Linked DNA regions of Caenorhabditis elegans. The protein of the gene in region 1 purifies or fractionates together with the protein of each later gene. This does not show direct contact. Each region holds a gene or a part of one and is shown on either strand. Other genes may lie near its edges.

Region 1 (7,659 bases):
GAAAACTAACCACATCCACAACAGCATGGTCTGCAGCAAGTACAACATCGAGTACAGCAACAAGTTCTACAACAAGTACAACAACATTTAGGTCTACAACAGCAACAGCATCTTGGTCTACAACAACAACATCCACATCCTCCACCACCTCCTCCACATCCACAACATCCACAACAGCCTCCATTCCTTTTAACACGAGATGATTCGATAATTGATGTTTCAGATGAAACTAAAGTTATTTCTGTTGTTGATACTGGCAACACTCCTGATTCAACCTAAATATGTATTGGTTTTGTTTATATTTATACAATGTACTGATACCTGTGAAATGGTAATAACAGCGAAGAGGGCCAAGAGTACAATCTTACTCATTTTAAATTATTAGTTTTCGATATAAACTCTCAATTTCCATCTATTATATATTCGTTCTTACGTGTTTGTCGTCTCTCATTTGACACTTTTGCCGGAAAACCATTTTTTGTGATCTATCCGCGCAAGTCGCGTCATGGAAACTGAGCAAAAAACTAAGACACTTTGAAGCATGGAAAATAAATGGTTGTTGCCAGTATCAACATTAGAAATATCTGTAATTACATCTGAAACATCAATTCTCGAATCAACTCTTATTGGAATCGCGTGAAAGCTCGTGAATCTCGTGGAAAAATGGAGGATGTTGTGGATTATATGATCCATAACACCCATGGATGCGATGGATGATAAAGTATTTTTCTTTCGACTCAGGTGAAGACGATTATTCGATTTTGAGATGCTTAAGTTTTGAAATGAAGGCTTAAGTTTTGAAGATCACGCCTACGTGTCTGCCTTCTTGCTTTCATGCCCTGGATCGAAACCCTGCGAGTGTACTGGTGGGCACATCGTAAATTAACTGTGATCACAGATAATAGTTATTTCTTTGATTGAAATTACTTTTTTCAAAACGCCCGATTTATTCTGGTGTACCACCTGTTTTCAATTAACTTTCAAAAATTAATTTATTATGCAAAAAGTTCACATTATTCCCGTTCAGTTTCAGTTTTCAGTTCATCCACATCTTCACTCTTCTTTTTAGGCGACTTTCGTTTCTTACTAGATGCTGACGAATCACAAACTTTTTGGGAAGATGGAACTTTCTTGACTTTCACTATCTTCTCCGACTCCTCTACAGTTTTTGGGATTTTCACCTGAAAATGGGAGATATTGGAAATAAAAATTATAACTGTTATACTTACACTTTTTTCTTTTTTAGACTGGTCCGATAGCTTTTCATCAAATACAACCAACGGCTTCTGTCGTCCTTTCCAAGACAATTTGGCTCCCTGTGGTGGTGGTGTTACCAAAGTGGGTGGAGAGTCAGGGTGTTTTTCCTTTTTTGTCTTCTTTTTCACACAAATCACAAGAAGTGAAAATGAAAATGATAGCAATACGATAATCGCAAAAGTTATTCTGAAAAGTGTAAAAGTTATTTTACACAAAACAAAAATTTCAAAGTGCTCAATCATTTGTGCCATTTTTTCCTTGCTCTGTTCTATTGACGAAAAATTCCGAGAAGTATTTAGATGCATAATAGATTGAAAAACACAAAAATATCCATATAGAGACAAGGCCTATTATAGATTTTTCTTGTATCGTACCACCAGCACTTTATTTCATCTATATTTCACACACAAACATCATTATTTTTTTCAGTCATACCGTTCTGGTATACATCTAAATAGCAATACATAAGAAAAATCAATAATAGACCCCTCCTCATACAGGGTACTTCTAGAGTTTTCTCACTAATATTACTGAGTGGAACAGAATGAGCCAGAAATCACAACTGGTGCTATTCCACAGTTACACGTGGTGTCAGAGTCTCTCTCGGTTTGATCTATGAAAGTGTCTAAATTAGGCGCAATTTCCGGAGATGAAGCCTGACACCACGTGCTTTAACAGTTTGAAAAATCTCTCTCTTCTTACCTGCCAATCCATGAAAATACAACGTTTATCATATTTTCTAAACAAAATGGTAAAATGAATAAATTGACATCGTTGTGGGGGGTGTAAGTGTAATTATTAAAATGTCAAAAACGTGATCTATATTAATATTTTAAGAGATTGATTTAGAAAAAAACAACGAAAAGTTAAACTTGAGTGTAGCAACAAAGATCTAATCTTATACATATTTCAGTAAACTGATTAAAATTTAAAAAAAAATTTTGCTGAATATGGGGAAAATTGGATTACACAAAGGTGACATGAACTTGTGTTGTAAGTGTTCTTAACTCCATCTGGCACACACCGTATGCATAGTTCACCACTACAGTAACCCTAATAGTATCTGTGAATTGCTATTTAGAATCATCATTCTTATTTTTCCGCCTCATTTCCATAAATATAACTTTAGTTTTCAACTCAAAATCTTTACAGTTACAAAATAAATTCAAAATTCGAATTTTTCTGGTTCATAATCGTAGTTTTTGTATTTAAATTTGTTGTTAAAAAACAGTAAAACAGGCGTAGCTTCCGTAGATCGATACAAAAGTTGACACTCTGCATAGAAGTCTGAATAACGACATCTAAATACAAATTGAAAATATTTAAACACTTTTGCCAAGTTCTGAAAATAAGTAATTTTAGCCCGTTTCATGAGTTTTTAGAAAAATCGATTTCCCAATAAATATCTTCACAATTGAAGCTTTAAAGTTAACTTTGCCATTGCTAGAACTTTTATTAGTAAATCATCAAAATATATTATTTGAATATATTAATTTGAACATTCAAAGCATAAATTTCTATCGTATCACCGCCGCGGGCCCTTTCATCAGTCGCTTCGAGACCGGTCAATTGAAAAGAGAGAGTGAGAGAGAGCGCGCGCGCGCCAGGAAGAGAGTATTAGAGAAAGGGTGAGAGATGAGAGACGCAGACCACCAAAGGAGGTAACTCTCAATCAAATGCCGTTCGCTCGCTTTTACTTGTGCATTTCCGTTGTTTAAGTCATACTTCGCGCTCAGTTCTCCATTTTTTCCGAATTTTTTTAAATCTGGAAATTGTAGCACTTCAGCTTCAAAAATTGAAGTATTATTCCTTTATTTGTTGTTAATTACTGAACAATGTAGTAACAAAATCGCGAAAAATTAACAAAAATCGCTTTTTAAGTTGATACAATAGAAATGTTCACTTCCAACAACTTTCTATTTAAAAAGAAAATTATATGTTCAATAAAGAAGCCGTGCTCATTTTCAGTTGATAATTCTTTCAAAGCTAACGAAAGTTTTTTCAAGATATTACGAAACTTTCGGGGTTTTCGAATAAATATAATTAGTTTTCTCTTGGGGATTTTTAAATTGTAGAGTGAAAGTTCATTGAATTTTGCCAGTCGTGCTCTTAAAGATTGTTCTAAGAAAAACTGTAAACTTGTTATTTATATTTATCCATTGCAGGCTGTAAACCTTTAAAACAAATTGGTGAAGCATACGAAAAGAAAAGGACGGAAACACCGTCGTCAAACACCAGGTGAGAATATTTTATCTCTTGAAAGTTATTAACTTTTTTTTTCAGGACAAGGAATGAGTGGGCATTCAGTTGACGGTGAAGAGCAGAGCTCGTCGGCCCCGGCAAGAAATCACACGCTTACGCACGTTTTGTACGCACAAGAAGCTGTCGGAGATGAGAAGAAAGACTCTGCAATTATTGATTTGTACGTGTTCAAGTCTTTAGAAAATGCCAGCTATGGTCTAAACAAACAAATTTTGCAGAATTGTCGACCAGTTCAAGCAAGAAAACATAGGAAACATTTTGGCAAATCCAGCAATCGCTTCTCTTGGCCCCTCGCGAATTAGACAAGTTGTGCTCGGCCCGAAGCATGTGGGAGTGCTGTTGGATGATGCAACTGTCTGTCGGATCCCATATCATGTTCTTCAAATTCAAAGCGGAGAGGTGAAGGAGGCTGAGGCCGTCAAAGGAGAACCATCATCGCGGTTGCACGATGTTTATGCTCGAGCTGGTGCTGCTGGAGAAGTAGAGGTCATTCCATTGAGTGGTGGTATGAACACACTGAGAGCAGCAGCTGGACAAGCCAAATATCGGAGAGTTATGCTTTCAAACAGGTTTTTGCGTTAAAAAACATGTTCAATAATTAATTTAATCCTTCAGAGCTTATTATCGTCTTCGTGGCAACCTCGGTGAATCAAGAAGCTATGTTCTAGGTGCTCCCCGAGTTCCTGCAACAAATGTTCCAGAGGAACTCATCAATAATGTTCAAGTTCGTATTTGTCGTGATAAAATAACATTATTTGATGATCTTTTTCAGCAAGTTCTACAAGGAAAGTCTAGGGATGTAATCATCAGAGAACTCCAAAGAACTGGCCTAAATGTAAATGAAGCAGTCAATAATTTGCTTTCAAGGGACGATGGAGATGGTTTGAATATTTAAATTAAAATGGAAAATTTCATTATTTTTACAGAGCAAGATGTACTAGATGTCGGAGGAGAACATCTGATTCCAGAGGAGTTACTTCAAATTTTGGAAGGTGGTGTTCCACCAGGAAGTAGTGGAGCTGTTGCAATGGCTGAAAGTCTGCTAGAACGTGGTAGGTGCCTTATTCAAATATATTGTTCATTATCCCCTTCGTTGTTGCTACAGAAGATCGTTTGCTGGATTCACTGGCATCTCGAGCCGAAATGAGATATCATTTCGGAGGTGCGTCCGGTAGTAAAAAGCCAAAAGCAAACGAGAAGGACAAAAAGAAGAAAGATAGTGAGACAAATTGGAAGAATTGCATACAGTTGGGAGAACATGTTGAGTGGTGGCGTGGAGCTCCAGGAGACGGAATTCCTGAGCATGCAAAGTAGTTTTCTTAGAATCAATATGTGCATTCAATCCATTGCTTTCAGAACCGATGCTCCAGTAAAATCTGAAGACGATAAAGCAAATCCAGTAATTAGTATCACGGCAACAAGTTATCAGATGTATGCTCTTCACAGAAACGGCAAAATGTACTCATGGGCGTGGGATGAGTCTGAAGGTCTTGATGATCCTTTGACTATTGTTAAAAACCGAGATCATCCCGACCATGCTACAATCGGAACACATGGAAATCCTGTTATTCAAATGTCATCCAGTAACTTGAGAATCTCAATTCTCACCCGATCCGGTCATTTGGTCAGCTGGCTCGATGAATGTGGAGCAGGCGTTCGATTTTCACTTGCTTCTGAAACAGTCACTAAGATCTCAGAAGACTCGGTGATGGCCGTTCAAGATCTGGTTACCAGCGATCATCTTGCCGCGTTTCGAATCGATAGCATTATTCATTGGTGGTATGTTTGATGTCATTTCCCTAGAAATATACATCAAAATATCTCATTAATTGTTTCAGTGGTATTGTGCCTCTTGTGGAAAGTACACGCTCTACTAAAAAGGAAAAAGAAGAAGCAGATCGTGAGAAAAAGAAGCATGTGTCATTTGGAGAAGCACCTGTGTCATCTATACCGGCGGTTCAATCGAATTCGATTGAATTTTTTGTGGGACAACAAGTTCAAATGAAAAAAGCTCCTCTGTATCCTGCAGGAAGTGTTGCTGCTCAAATAGACACTAGCAACCCCATGGTATTTTTTCAAAATAAGAATTTATGATGTAGATGACAACTTTTTTCCAGATTGGAGTTCTTCTGGAAGATTGCTGGAGTGCCACAGACCACTGCCGTTTTCGCAGCATGACACCTAAAGAATACGATTACGAGCTTGAAGTTGATGGATTCATTGCTCTACTGAACGGAGCATCACCAGAAGTATCTTCTGCCAGTGGAACCTCAACCAAAACGCTCCCAGGGGGAAGAGTCTCTCGGAAACGAACCCACGACGAAGCAGACGATTCGAATAGTGTTCCACCCACAGAGTTCGGACGACGACGCGTTGAAGTTTGGCTCGCCGAAGATCTTGTATGGATTCACGAGCATCGGAAAAGAGATGTCATGACGGTGCAAGTCGTTGACAATAACCTGGTTGCTGTTAAGCATGTGCCAAATTCCAGCCAGAAACCAATTTTCCAGAGTTTATTTAGCGAGAGACTTGAAATGGACGGAATGGTAACTTTAATTGAATATTGCATTCTTGAATTATTTTCCAAATTTCAGCCTCAGACTGTGATTTCAATCGAAAAATCTACGGATATCGACAAGATACGTCTAATGCGTAAAGAAGATTTACAAGTAATTGACAAGTGTCCTCCACGTGCTCCAGTCATTTTGCAAAAGGAATTGTTGAAATTCGATGTAGATTGTAATCGAACAATTGTATCAATGGTAGCTGATTTGAATGAACTCCGGGTGTTGGCTCGAAGTAAACACGTCGAACGTGGAATGCACATGTACCGAGTAAGCACGAACGGAAAAGTTATTTCAAGAAGACGAGTTCCTGTATTTCTCCCATCTGTTGAACGTCCAATTTTTGGAGGATTGTCTCCAAAGCTGATCAGTTTCGGAGATGTAAGATTTAAATATCTAGTAGTACTAAACATCTGAACACTATTTGCAGGCTCGGACACTTTTCCTACGAGACACTGCTGGTCAATTGATTCCTCTTCAACGTGATGCTTTAAATGGATTCCGTGAACCACCAGCAATGCATTCTCAACCAATTCTTCACATCGCTACTGCATGTAGACCCAGTTTTAACGTGCTGGCGTCTTGCGAGGTAGATAATGACTTACCGACAAAAATTCAAACCAGTTTTCAGAAAAATTCTCAATGGCAAGGTTCGATGCTGATTATTCCTGGCGTTGATCGTCCTTGGCATAGTCATTTCATCAAAGATGGATCGTCTTTGATGCAAATGGTCTTGTACTGTGACGCAGATGGTGTCAGTCAATTTTTAGATCGATTATTCGAGTTGAGAAGTATGTATTAGAAATTGTTATTTATAAAATTTGGAATCAATTTTCAGTGAGCTGTACCATCAGTCATCATGAGTTCCGGCAGATTATGAGCGAACAATTGTTCACTATCACCTCGGATCTTTGCTCAAACGTCTTACATGCGGCGATCCGGCTAACAAGTGCTACCAAAAACTCGGAAGATTCTGATAAAGCTGTTCCTGATACAACTATGCCAACATTGTTCCCAACCCGAAATATTACACTACCACCACAAGATGTATCCATGGAAGATGCAGCCCCAGCAGAAGAATCGAGCTCTTCCAATATGCAAGGCGATGAAATTGATGATGAGGAAGAGCCACGATGGTCACGAGTACTCAGAAGCAGACCGAAAAGAGAGCAAGTGACACCTTCAAAGAAATCGAAAAAAGAAAAACGAGCTGATTCTGAAGAAAACGACGAGTACGGAGGTGAAAATCATTCGTTCTCTGCAGTACGATCAGATGAAAGTGGGATGCCGTTCGGATCTCCAAGGCCACCGATGGTCCGTCAAAAATCAGCACTTCAGATTATTGACACTTTTCTGAAACATCCAGCAATGTTTTATGACAAGGACGCTGAAGAACATATTGGTATATTTTTGAAATACGAAACTTTCAAAACAAAATTTTTTCAGAATATGTGGATGAACCGGACCGTCTGTCTGCTGTGAAGGCGCTTCTACTTACGCGTGATCTTAATGGAATGACTCCTTTCCAATCAGCCATAAATCAGCGAGCTTACGGTGCTGCGACTAGTATTTGGAG
Region 2 (9,383 bases), on another chromosome or scaffold:
GGCATGCCAGTCCGAGGTAAAAACGAAGAAATGACGAGTCACGTGACTATTAAAAATATGAAACCACTTCGTGATAATTATAATAATTCTTTGATTATTAATATTAACTCATTCCCTTGTCATAAATATCATTTTCTCAGTCGTGATCTGCGGAATAGTAGTATTCTGCGTATTCGCGGCAAAGAAGGCGTGCAGCCGGTTGATATATATTTAGTTTCCGAATCAATGATGATATGAAGACAACCATGATAAAGAAGAACACAATGCAGTGACCACTAAAATTTGTGAAATGGAAATTGTGGAAAATTGCAGTCGCTTGCTCGACACAAAAAGAGCTATTCGGCTTATACATAACTTCAGGATAAAATTAATTCCCAGAAATTCAAATAAAAACACAGATCCACTTAGTTTGTATATGTTTCGTTGAAAAGGCGAATATTCGCACAAATTTCAATCTCTCGCACAATTTTTAACTACGGGAAAGCTAACAACATGGAATTATTGTGTCAACTTAATTGTAAATGTTTTAAAATGTTATTTTCACTGTAGAGTGTATTAAGCAAAATGCATTACATTTTTGAGCAATTTCAAATAAATCCCAATTTGGAAAAACTTGCAAAGAATTTGAATTCCCGGTAATTTTTTTCAAATAAAAACGCTTACCTTCTTAGCTGCTTTTGCAGCAACTGATGCTGCATTGGCAGCGGCCGCGCATCGTTTGCATCGTCTTATTCCCGAAAAGGGTGTATTGGGGCATTTTTACTGCGGAACAATGTAAATAATGAAAAACCTAATTTTGAAACACCGCGTAAATCCTCCCCGAAAAGCGTAGAATGTCTCTGCGTGGTGAGACCCAGTTGCGAAATTGTGTGCGCCTTTAGAAGCGAATTTATTTTCTAGAATAAATTCAAACGAGAATCATTGTTTTTCAAGGATTTCTGTTGAAAGTCTTTATTTTTTATTTAAAAAGTTATGTAATAATACATTTTAGAACCTTTTTGAATTGTAATATGCTCTCGAACCTTTTTATGCGTGTCTATTTTCCTCTTGAATCGTTTTCCAATCTCATTTCTCCGTTTTTTAGTTTTTGTTGGTTTTACTGAGATATTTCATAGTTGAATTCTTGTTTTCAGGTAGTATGTCGTCAATCCAGTGCCTGAACCCGAAAGCTGAGTTAGCTAGGCATGCTGCCGCTCTCGAGCTTAATATTAGTGGAGCTCGTGGACTTCAAGACGTCATGAGATCGAACCTCGGACCAAAGGGAACTCTCAAGATGTGAGAATAAACTGATCAAATGTATAATTGAGACTATAATCACATTTTCAGGCTCGTATCTGGAGCTGGGGATATCAAATTGACGAAGGATGGAAATGTCTTGCTTCACGAAATGGTTTGATCGTTTTGTTCAGATTCAGCGTTTAGCACTATTTAATTTCAGGCGATTCAACATCCAACAGCCTCAATGATTGCCAAGGCTTCGACGGCACAAGACGACGTGACTGGAGATGGAACCACATCCACCGTTCTCCTTATCGGAGAGCTCTTGAAACAAGCCGAATCTCTAGTTCTCGAGGTGATCAATTTCCAAAGTTTAACTTTAAACATTTATTTAAAATTTTAGGGTCTTCATCCACGTATTGTTACTGAAGGCTTCGAGTGGGCTAACACAAAAACCCTCGAGTTGCTTGAAAAGTTCAAGAAAGAGGCTCCCGTTGAGCGTGACCTCCTTGTAGAGGTGTGCCGCACTGCTCTTCGTACCAAACTTCATCAGAAACTTGCTGATCACATCACCGAGTAAGAAACAAACAATTAAAAAGTAGTAAAAAACATTATCTTCTTAATTTCAGATGCGTTGTCGACGCCGTTTTGGCAATCCGTCGTGATGGAGAGGAACCAGATCTTCATATGGTTGAAAAGATGGAAATGCACCACGACAGTGATATGGATACCACACTTGTTCGTGGATTAGTTCTCGATCATGGAGCTCGTCACCCAGATATGCCAAGACACGTTAAAGACGCTTACATTCTCACTTGCAACGTTTCTTTGGAATACGAGAAGACTGAAGTCAACTCGGGACTTTTCTACAAGACCGCCAAGGAACGTGAGGCACTTCTCGCTGCCGAACGTGAATTCATTACTCGTCGTGTTCACAAGATTATTGAGTTGAAGAAGAAGGTTATTGATAATTCTCCAGATGGTAAGAATAAGGGATTCGTTGTTATCAACCAGAAAGGAATCGATCCTCCATCTCTTGACTTGCTTGCTTCCGAAGGAATTCTTGCTCTTCGTCGTGCCAAGAGACGTAACATGGAACGTCTTCAGCTGGCCGTCGGAGGAGAAGCCGTCAACTCAGTTGATGATTTGACTCCAGAGGATCTTGGATGGGCTGGACTCGTTTACGAGCATTCCCTTGGAGAAGAGAAATACACGTTTATCGAGGAATGCCGTGCTCCAAAATCTGTGACTCTTCTTATCAAGGGACCAAACAAGCATACCATCACTCAAATCAAGGATGCTATTCATGATGGACTTCGTGCTGTTTTCAACACCATCGTTGACAGTGAGTTTAAATTTTATTAACTTCTGTTCTAGTAACCTATTTTCAGAGGCTGTTCTCCCTGGAGCTGCTGCTTTCGAAATTGCTGCCTACGTGATGTTGAAAAAAGATGTTGAGAACCTGAAGGGACGTGCCAAGCTCGGAGCTGAAGCGTTTGCTCAAGCTCTTCTCGTTATTCCAAAGACACTGGCCGTAAATGGAGGATATGATGCTCAGGAAACACTTGTTAAGCTTATTGAGGAGAAAACCGCCGCTGGACCAGATATCGCCGTTGGACTCGATCTCGAAACCGGAGGAGCTGTCGAGCCACAAGGAATTTGGGACAATGTGACGGTGAAGAAGAACAGTATCTCGTCGGCGACAGTACTTGCATGCAATCTCTTGCTTGTTGATGAAGTGATGCGCGCTGGTATGACCAACTTGAAGCAGCCACAACCAGAATAAATATTAAAATTGTTTTTCTATTCCCCCCAGTGTGTCCGTTTCTATGATCTGTTGCCGTGTTTGATAATATTCCCCATCCCGTTCAACAAGCCCAACTTTACCGTTTGTTTTTATAGCTTTCTTCGAGCGATAATCAACAAAGATCGATCTGTTTTCTTTTTCTTTATTATCCCCCAATTTCTTAAATTTTCATCAAAATTTATTGCTTTTCATTTGAGAATTTGTTGATTTTTTCATGCACGTTCCTTTTTGATTTTGCGCAATAAAGGCTTCTTGCTTTTAATATTATTATGATTGGTTTCCGGTTGTGTATGTGCGCGAAGCTTTATTTCTATAGAAAATTAATATGATATTCGGAGAATTGACATTTTCGAATGTCCCGCTAAGAGAGCGCGGCCTAACAAATACCACCTCGGTCGCGTGTATTATATACGAAAAGGGTGAATGCATTTCTGTAGGTTTATGTTAAAAATTGGTTTTTTTACATTTTCCCATTGTAAAAGCATATTTTTAATTAGTTTTCCAAACATTTAAGTTCTTAAATTCCAGAGAAATGGCTGCTGAACCTCCATCACTTGAGGAACTTCTGGAAAAGAAGAAAAGAGAAGAAGATGAATTGGCAAAGGTATGTATTATTTTTTAATATCTCAAAAAACATCGCATATTTTTTAAAAACCAAACCATTTTCAAATTTTCAGCCAAAATTTCTGTCAAAAGCCGAGCGGGCCGCATTGGCTCTGAAACGAAGAGAAGAGGAGGTCGCAAAACTGCGTGAAACACAAAAACAAGCTGAAGAAGCTCGAAAAAATTGGGGACGCACCGAAAAAACATCAGACGATAGAAGAGATCGTGGACTTGACCGAGGCAATGATCGTGACAGAGACCGTGAACGGGAACGTGATCGTGATCGTCGACGGGATCGTCGGGAGAGAAGTGGTTCTCGAGATAGACGACGAAGGAGCAGGAGCCGTGATCGTGATGGTGGAAGGCGTCGAGATAGAAGTAGAAGTAGAGATAGAAGGGATCGAAATGATGATCGGAAAAGAGATAGAAACGAGGATAGTGATAATGAAGAAGATGTTAGTAAAATGGCAGATGCTGTTAAAGACAGATATCTTGGAAAACAGAAGGAAAAGAAGAAAAGAGGACGGAGACTTCATGAGAAAAAGTTTGTTTTTGATTGGGATGCTGGAGAGGATACATCACAGGATTATAACAAATTATATCAAAGTCGACATGAAATTCAGTTCTTTGGAAGAGGATCTGTTGCTGGAACGGATGTGAATGCTCAGAAAAAAGAGAAGAACTCGTTCTACCAGGAAATGATGGAAAATCGAAGAACTGTTGATGAGAAAGAGCAAGAGATGCATCGCCTTGAAAAAGAACTGAAAAAAGAAAAGAAAGTGGCTCATGATGATCGTCATTGGAGAATGAAAGAACTTTCTGAGATGTCTGACAGAGATTGGCGTATCTTCCGTGAAGATTTCAATATTTCTATTAAAGGAGGCAGAGTTCCACGACCTCTTCGTAATTGGGAAGAAGCTGGATTTCCAGATGAAGTCTACCAAGCTGTCAAAGAAATTGGTTATCTGGAACCTACACCTATTCAGAGACAAGCCATCCCAATTGGTCTTCAGAATCGTGACGTAATCGGTGTAGCTGAAACTGGATCAGGAAAAACTGCAGCTTTCCTTCTACCGCTGCTTGTATGGATCACAAGCCTTCCAAAAATGGAACGACAAGAACATCGGGACTTGGGTCCATATGCTATTATTATGGCTCCAACAAGAGAATTGGCTCAGCAGATTGAAGAGGAAACCAACAAGTTCGGAAAGCTTCTCGGTATCAAGACCGTTTCAGTAATCGGAGGAGCCAGCAGAGAAGATCAAGGAATGAAGCTTCGAATGGGTGTTGAAGTGGTCATTGCAACACCAGGTCGTCTTCTCGATGTTCTGGAAAATCGATATCTTCTCCTGAATCAGTGTACCTATGTGATCCTTGACGAAGCTGATCGAATGCTTGACATGGGATTTGAACCAGATGTTCAGAAGGTTCTGGAGTACATGCCAGATACAAATATGAAGAAAGATACGGATGAATTCGATAATGAAGAAGCTTTGATGAAGGGATTCTCAACAAGAGAGAAATATCGACAAACTGTCATGTTCACAGCTACAATGTCTTCAGCTATCGAAAGACTTGCCAGACAATATCTCAGAAGACCAGCAGTTGTACATATTGGATCTGCTGGAAAGCCTACAGAAAGAGTTGAACAGGTAATTTATTTTATTCTTGGTAGAAAAGAAAAATAATTATGAGAATCGTTTTTCATATTTCGACATTAAGCTGAACTAGAAAAATTACTAGAACTAAGGCAGCTTCCTAAAGTAGCTTCATAAAAGTTGTTAACTAAAATTTGCTAAAAACTAATTAAGAACACCCAAAAAATTGTTTTTTAACTGAAAAAAGTGAAAAATTGTTTGGTTTTTTGTTGGTTTTCTAAAAAATAAAATCAAAAAATTAATTTTTCGTCAAATTACCAAAAAATGCCAAAAAAAAGTCCCATCTCTGGATTGAAACCACGCAGAAAGGGGGAATTCTGTTTTCAGTGTCTTTTTTCAGAGGCTAGTATTTTTTAGTAAGAAATTTCAAAAAAATTTCAAGTTTTTTAAAAATTCCAAAATATTTCGTATTCAGGTAGTCTACATGGTTCCAGAGGATCGTAAACGTAAGAAGCTCGTCGAAGTGCTCGAATCACAATTCCAACCACCGATTATTATTTTTGTCAATCAGAAGAAAGGTGCTGATATGCTCTCAAAAGGTCTTACCAAACTTGGTTTCAAGCCAACAGTTCTTCACGGAGGAAAAGGTCAAGATCAAAGAGAATACGCTCTGCAGGCTCTTAAAGAAGGAACGAGTGATATTCTTGTGGCTACTGATGTTGCTGGAAGAGGTTCGTTTTTTTTTTTGGAAAAAAATTGTTGATTCAAATACTTTTTTCAAGTATATATATACCGTATATTCTCTATTAGAGCGGCGTATCTAATAGTACGGCGTATCTATTAGAGCGGCACCCTAACTGGCTCTTCGAAAATTAGAGCGGCAGTCTCTATTAGTGTGGCACCCCTTTTTTTGGGTGCGAGAGCCACCTCAATTATTCGATTTCTTCGAAGATATTTTTGTTCATTCTTGAATGAATTCATAAATTTTCATTTAAATATTGAATTTTAGTGTCTTTGTGAGGCAAAATTACACAATTTTCACGAATTTTTCCATAAAATATGAGGTTTTATAAGGAAATTTTGAGGTTACTACTCCCAACAGTAGTAACTTCAATATGAAAATTAGTTATCGAAAATTAGTGCGGCAGTATCCAGTAGAACGGCAGTCTCTAATAGAGCGCACGTCGCGAAGGGCCCGGAAATTAGTGCGGCATGCCGCTCTAATAGAGAATATACGGTATATAACGTTTCTTGAAAGTTTCAAACTCTTCTGAATGAAAACCCAAAAATTTGAGATTCCCCTATTTAAAAAAAAAACTAATTGAAGAGGTTTGATTCGAAATGTAACTAAAAAATTATAAATTCAAAGTTTTGAAAATCAAAATAATATCCACTTAATTTTCAGGTATCGACGTCAAAGATGTATCACTGGTACTCAACTACGATATGGCAAAATCAATTGAAGACTATACTCACAGAATTGGTAGAACTGGTATGTTTTTATTCACTTTTTCTGTGGAAATTTTTTGATGAAGTGTAATTTTCTGTTTTGGGAAAATATGAGATTCTTGAGGACATCATTTTTTTAAAATTTATCTCCACATAGTATGATTTATTACAACGGAAAAAAGATAAAGAACAGCGGAGCAGTAAGAAATTATTTAAAGAAAATTTTAAAAAATGAAAAAAAATGCGTAGAAGTTTTCATAAATTTTGAAGCTACTAGCATCTGAAAACTTCCACACTTTTCTTCTTGATCACATATAATAATTTCTTTTAAATTTCAGGTCGAGCTGGTAAACATGGAAAAGCAATCACATTCCTCACACCTGACGATACTGCCGTCTATTTCGACTTGAAGCAGGTAAAAATTGTGACGGAAACCGGACACCAAAAATGATATTGGACCTAAAAATCAAAAAATTTTTGTTTTGATTTTAGGTCGAAAAATAAAAATTGAAATTTGCGAAAAATTAAAGAAGAAACTAAACAAGAAAAACGAAAAATTGAGGACTTTAGTTTAATTTTTATTTTTAAAGAACAATGAAAAAATGAAAATTTTTTAAAGATAAAAAATCCAACAAAAAAAATTTAATTTTTTGTCCAAATATCAACAAAAAAGAAAAGATTTGCATTCGGTTTTCTGAAAGATAATCGATGAAATAAGTAGTTAAAAATGAAAACATCAGTTAATCGTTTCATAAAATATTTAAAAAAAATATTTTAAGCGTTCTTGAACAATTTAGAAAAAAAAAATCCACTTTTGGGTTACTGTAGTTACTGCAAGCGAATTAAAATTACAATGAAAAAAAGAAACAACTCCGAAAAAAATTTATTCGAATAAGGTTAATTCGATGAGATGCCCTTTAATTAAGTCGTTAATGAATGTTTTGAATTTAATTTTCAAAATTTCCGTCTAATTCCAAGATAATCGTTTTTGAAAGTTTTTTTTTTCAAAAGTTTCAAAAGAAAATGTATCACTCAATAAATACTTTTAATAAAAATATTTTAACTCGTATTTTTTCCAGGTTCTGGTCGAATCGCCAGTGTCATCATGCCCACCTGAACTTGCGAATCATCCGGATGCACAGAGTAAGCCTGGAGTGTTTACATCAAAGAAACGACAAGATGAAACATTGTTCTTGAAGTGATAATTCTCTTTTTTGTTTGGAAAATCTCAACATTTATATTTATTTATTCAATTTTTATATGATTGTTCTACCAGATCTGTTAAATAAATACTCCTGACCCCATCATTCCGTTCAAATTTCATTATTAATTCCAGAATAGGAAAATGATCATGAAAAGTTGCTCTCTGTCGGATTTCCAAGAGCACATTATTCGGAGAATGTGTGTTTTAAAGCTAGTCTCGTGGAAAAATTCAAATTAAATGAATTCTCATGTTAGGAAGCAAAATAATTAATTTTTCGATTTTAAGAAACGAAATTGAAAGTTTAAAAATCTGAAATATTTCACTCCACACTGATCATAATTTTTTTAAAATAAAATAAAATAGTATTTTGAAATACGTTTTACTAGTTATTGTGAAAAAAGGAAAACTGAAAATAAATAAATAAATCTTTAAAGGTTGGGTACATGTTAGATAATTATAAAAATAAGAAGTTCGTCGACGTGTTCGAATCGTTTTTCCAAAAAACCTTCGCCAAGGAATAAAACCTAACAAAATCATAATGTTGTCAAAAAAAATGGGCCGACATGCTCTCAAAAGGTCTCGTAAACCTGAAGATCAAATCCACGGTTTTTCACGGAGGAAAGACTCACTGGGGAACCGTCAGAAGGTGCCCATCAAACTAGCATATGAGATTCGATAGCCCATGTCTTAAAACGGTTACTCGAGAATTTTTAGCGGTGAAGCTCCAGAACCAAACTCACGGCGGGCTCTCAAAGATCCTGAAAATAGCACTTTAACGAAGCATTGAAGGGCCTACTTTCCAATTTCACTTTGGTAGCTCATATCTCCGCGGATAAATTTTTTACAGAAAAGTCATCAACTAAAAAGTTGTTGATATTGTTGTAAAGAACAAGTTTGTAGTTGAAAGTTTTTTATCAAAAACATTTTTGCTTGAGATAAAAGCGCGTGAAGTGCGGCAACTGTTGCTGTTATTTTTAAGCTGTTGCTATTCTAATGCTTTTATCTCAAACAAAATGTTTTTTGGTAAAAAACTTTCAGCTACAAACTTTTACTTTCCAACAATATCAACAACTTTTTAGTTGATGACTTTTCTGTAAAAAATTTATCCGCGGAGATATTTTAGGATATTTGAAAGCCCGCCGCGAGCTTAGCTCTGGAGTTTTACTGCTAAACATTCACGGGTAACCGTTTTAAGACCTGGGCGTTCGAATGACAAAGATCTCATATGCAAGTCCGATGGACACCTTCTGACGGTTCCCTAGTCAGGAACAGGGAGAATCCGCCTTTAAAGATCTAGGCTTTAAAAGGTTAGATGGATACCGTACTCTTTTTGTTACTGATGTTGCTTAAAGAGGTTCGTGGTTTGTGCTGTTAAAAATTCTTTGAATTATGAAAAATGTCGGGAATTTTTGTTAGAAGTTCAGTTAAAAATTCATTAAAAATTATGAATGTTTTAAAAATAAAAATAATATTCACTTGATTTCCAGGGATCGACGTCAAAGAT

What was found. Proteins that work in one complex are often made in the same cells at the same time.
Region 2: the proteins of ubr-5 (region 1) and ddx-23 fractionate together in Caenorhabditis elegans (co-fractionation; one large-scale study listed by BioGRID). This does not show direct contact.

What each region holds. Positions count from the first base shown.
Region 1 is NC_003279.8:8,834,483-8,842,141, reverse strand, and holds the start of ubr-5 (E3 ubiquitin-protein ligase UBR5), read left to right. Parts: upstream 1-3,422; 5' UTR 3,423-3,495; intron 3,496-3,540; 5' UTR 3,541-3,548; coding exon 3,549-3,679; intron 3,680-3,737; coding exon 3,738-4,088; intron 4,089-4,134; coding exon 4,135-4,243; intron 4,244-4,291; coding exon 4,292-4,400; intron 4,401-4,445; coding exon 4,446-4,571; intron 4,572-4,624; coding exon 4,625-4,829; intron 4,830-4,875; coding exon 4,876-5,298; intron 5,299-5,357; coding exon 5,358-5,586; intron 5,587-5,636; coding exon 5,637-6,065; intron 6,066-6,113; coding exon 6,114-6,464; intron 6,465-6,513; coding exon 6,514-6,672; intron 6,673-6,714; coding exon 6,715-6,874; intron 6,875-6,921; coding exon 6,922-7,485; intron 7,486-7,529; coding exon 7,530-7,659. Other genes in the region: F29D10.2 (uncharacterized protein), read right to left, coding at 11-275, 322-372; F29D10.1 (uncharacterized protein), read right to left, coding at 1,014-1,181, 1,230-1,508.
Region 2 is NC_003281.10:5,847,438-5,856,820, reverse strand, and holds ddx-23 (putative ATP-dependent RNA helicase DDX23), read left to right. Parts: upstream 1-3,551; 5' UTR 3,552-3,557; coding exon 3,558-3,629; intron 3,630-3,702; coding exon 3,703-5,280; intron 5,281-5,701; coding exon 5,702-5,957; intron 5,958-6,631; coding exon 6,632-6,718; intron 6,719-7,013; coding exon 7,014-7,090; intron 7,091-7,754; coding exon 7,755-7,877; 3' UTR 7,878-7,983; downstream 7,984-9,383. Other genes in the region: cct-6 (T-complex protein 1 subunit zeta), read left to right, coding at 1,139-1,275, 1,327-1,390, 1,439-1,573, 1,622-1,794, 1,848-2,563, 2,610-3,004.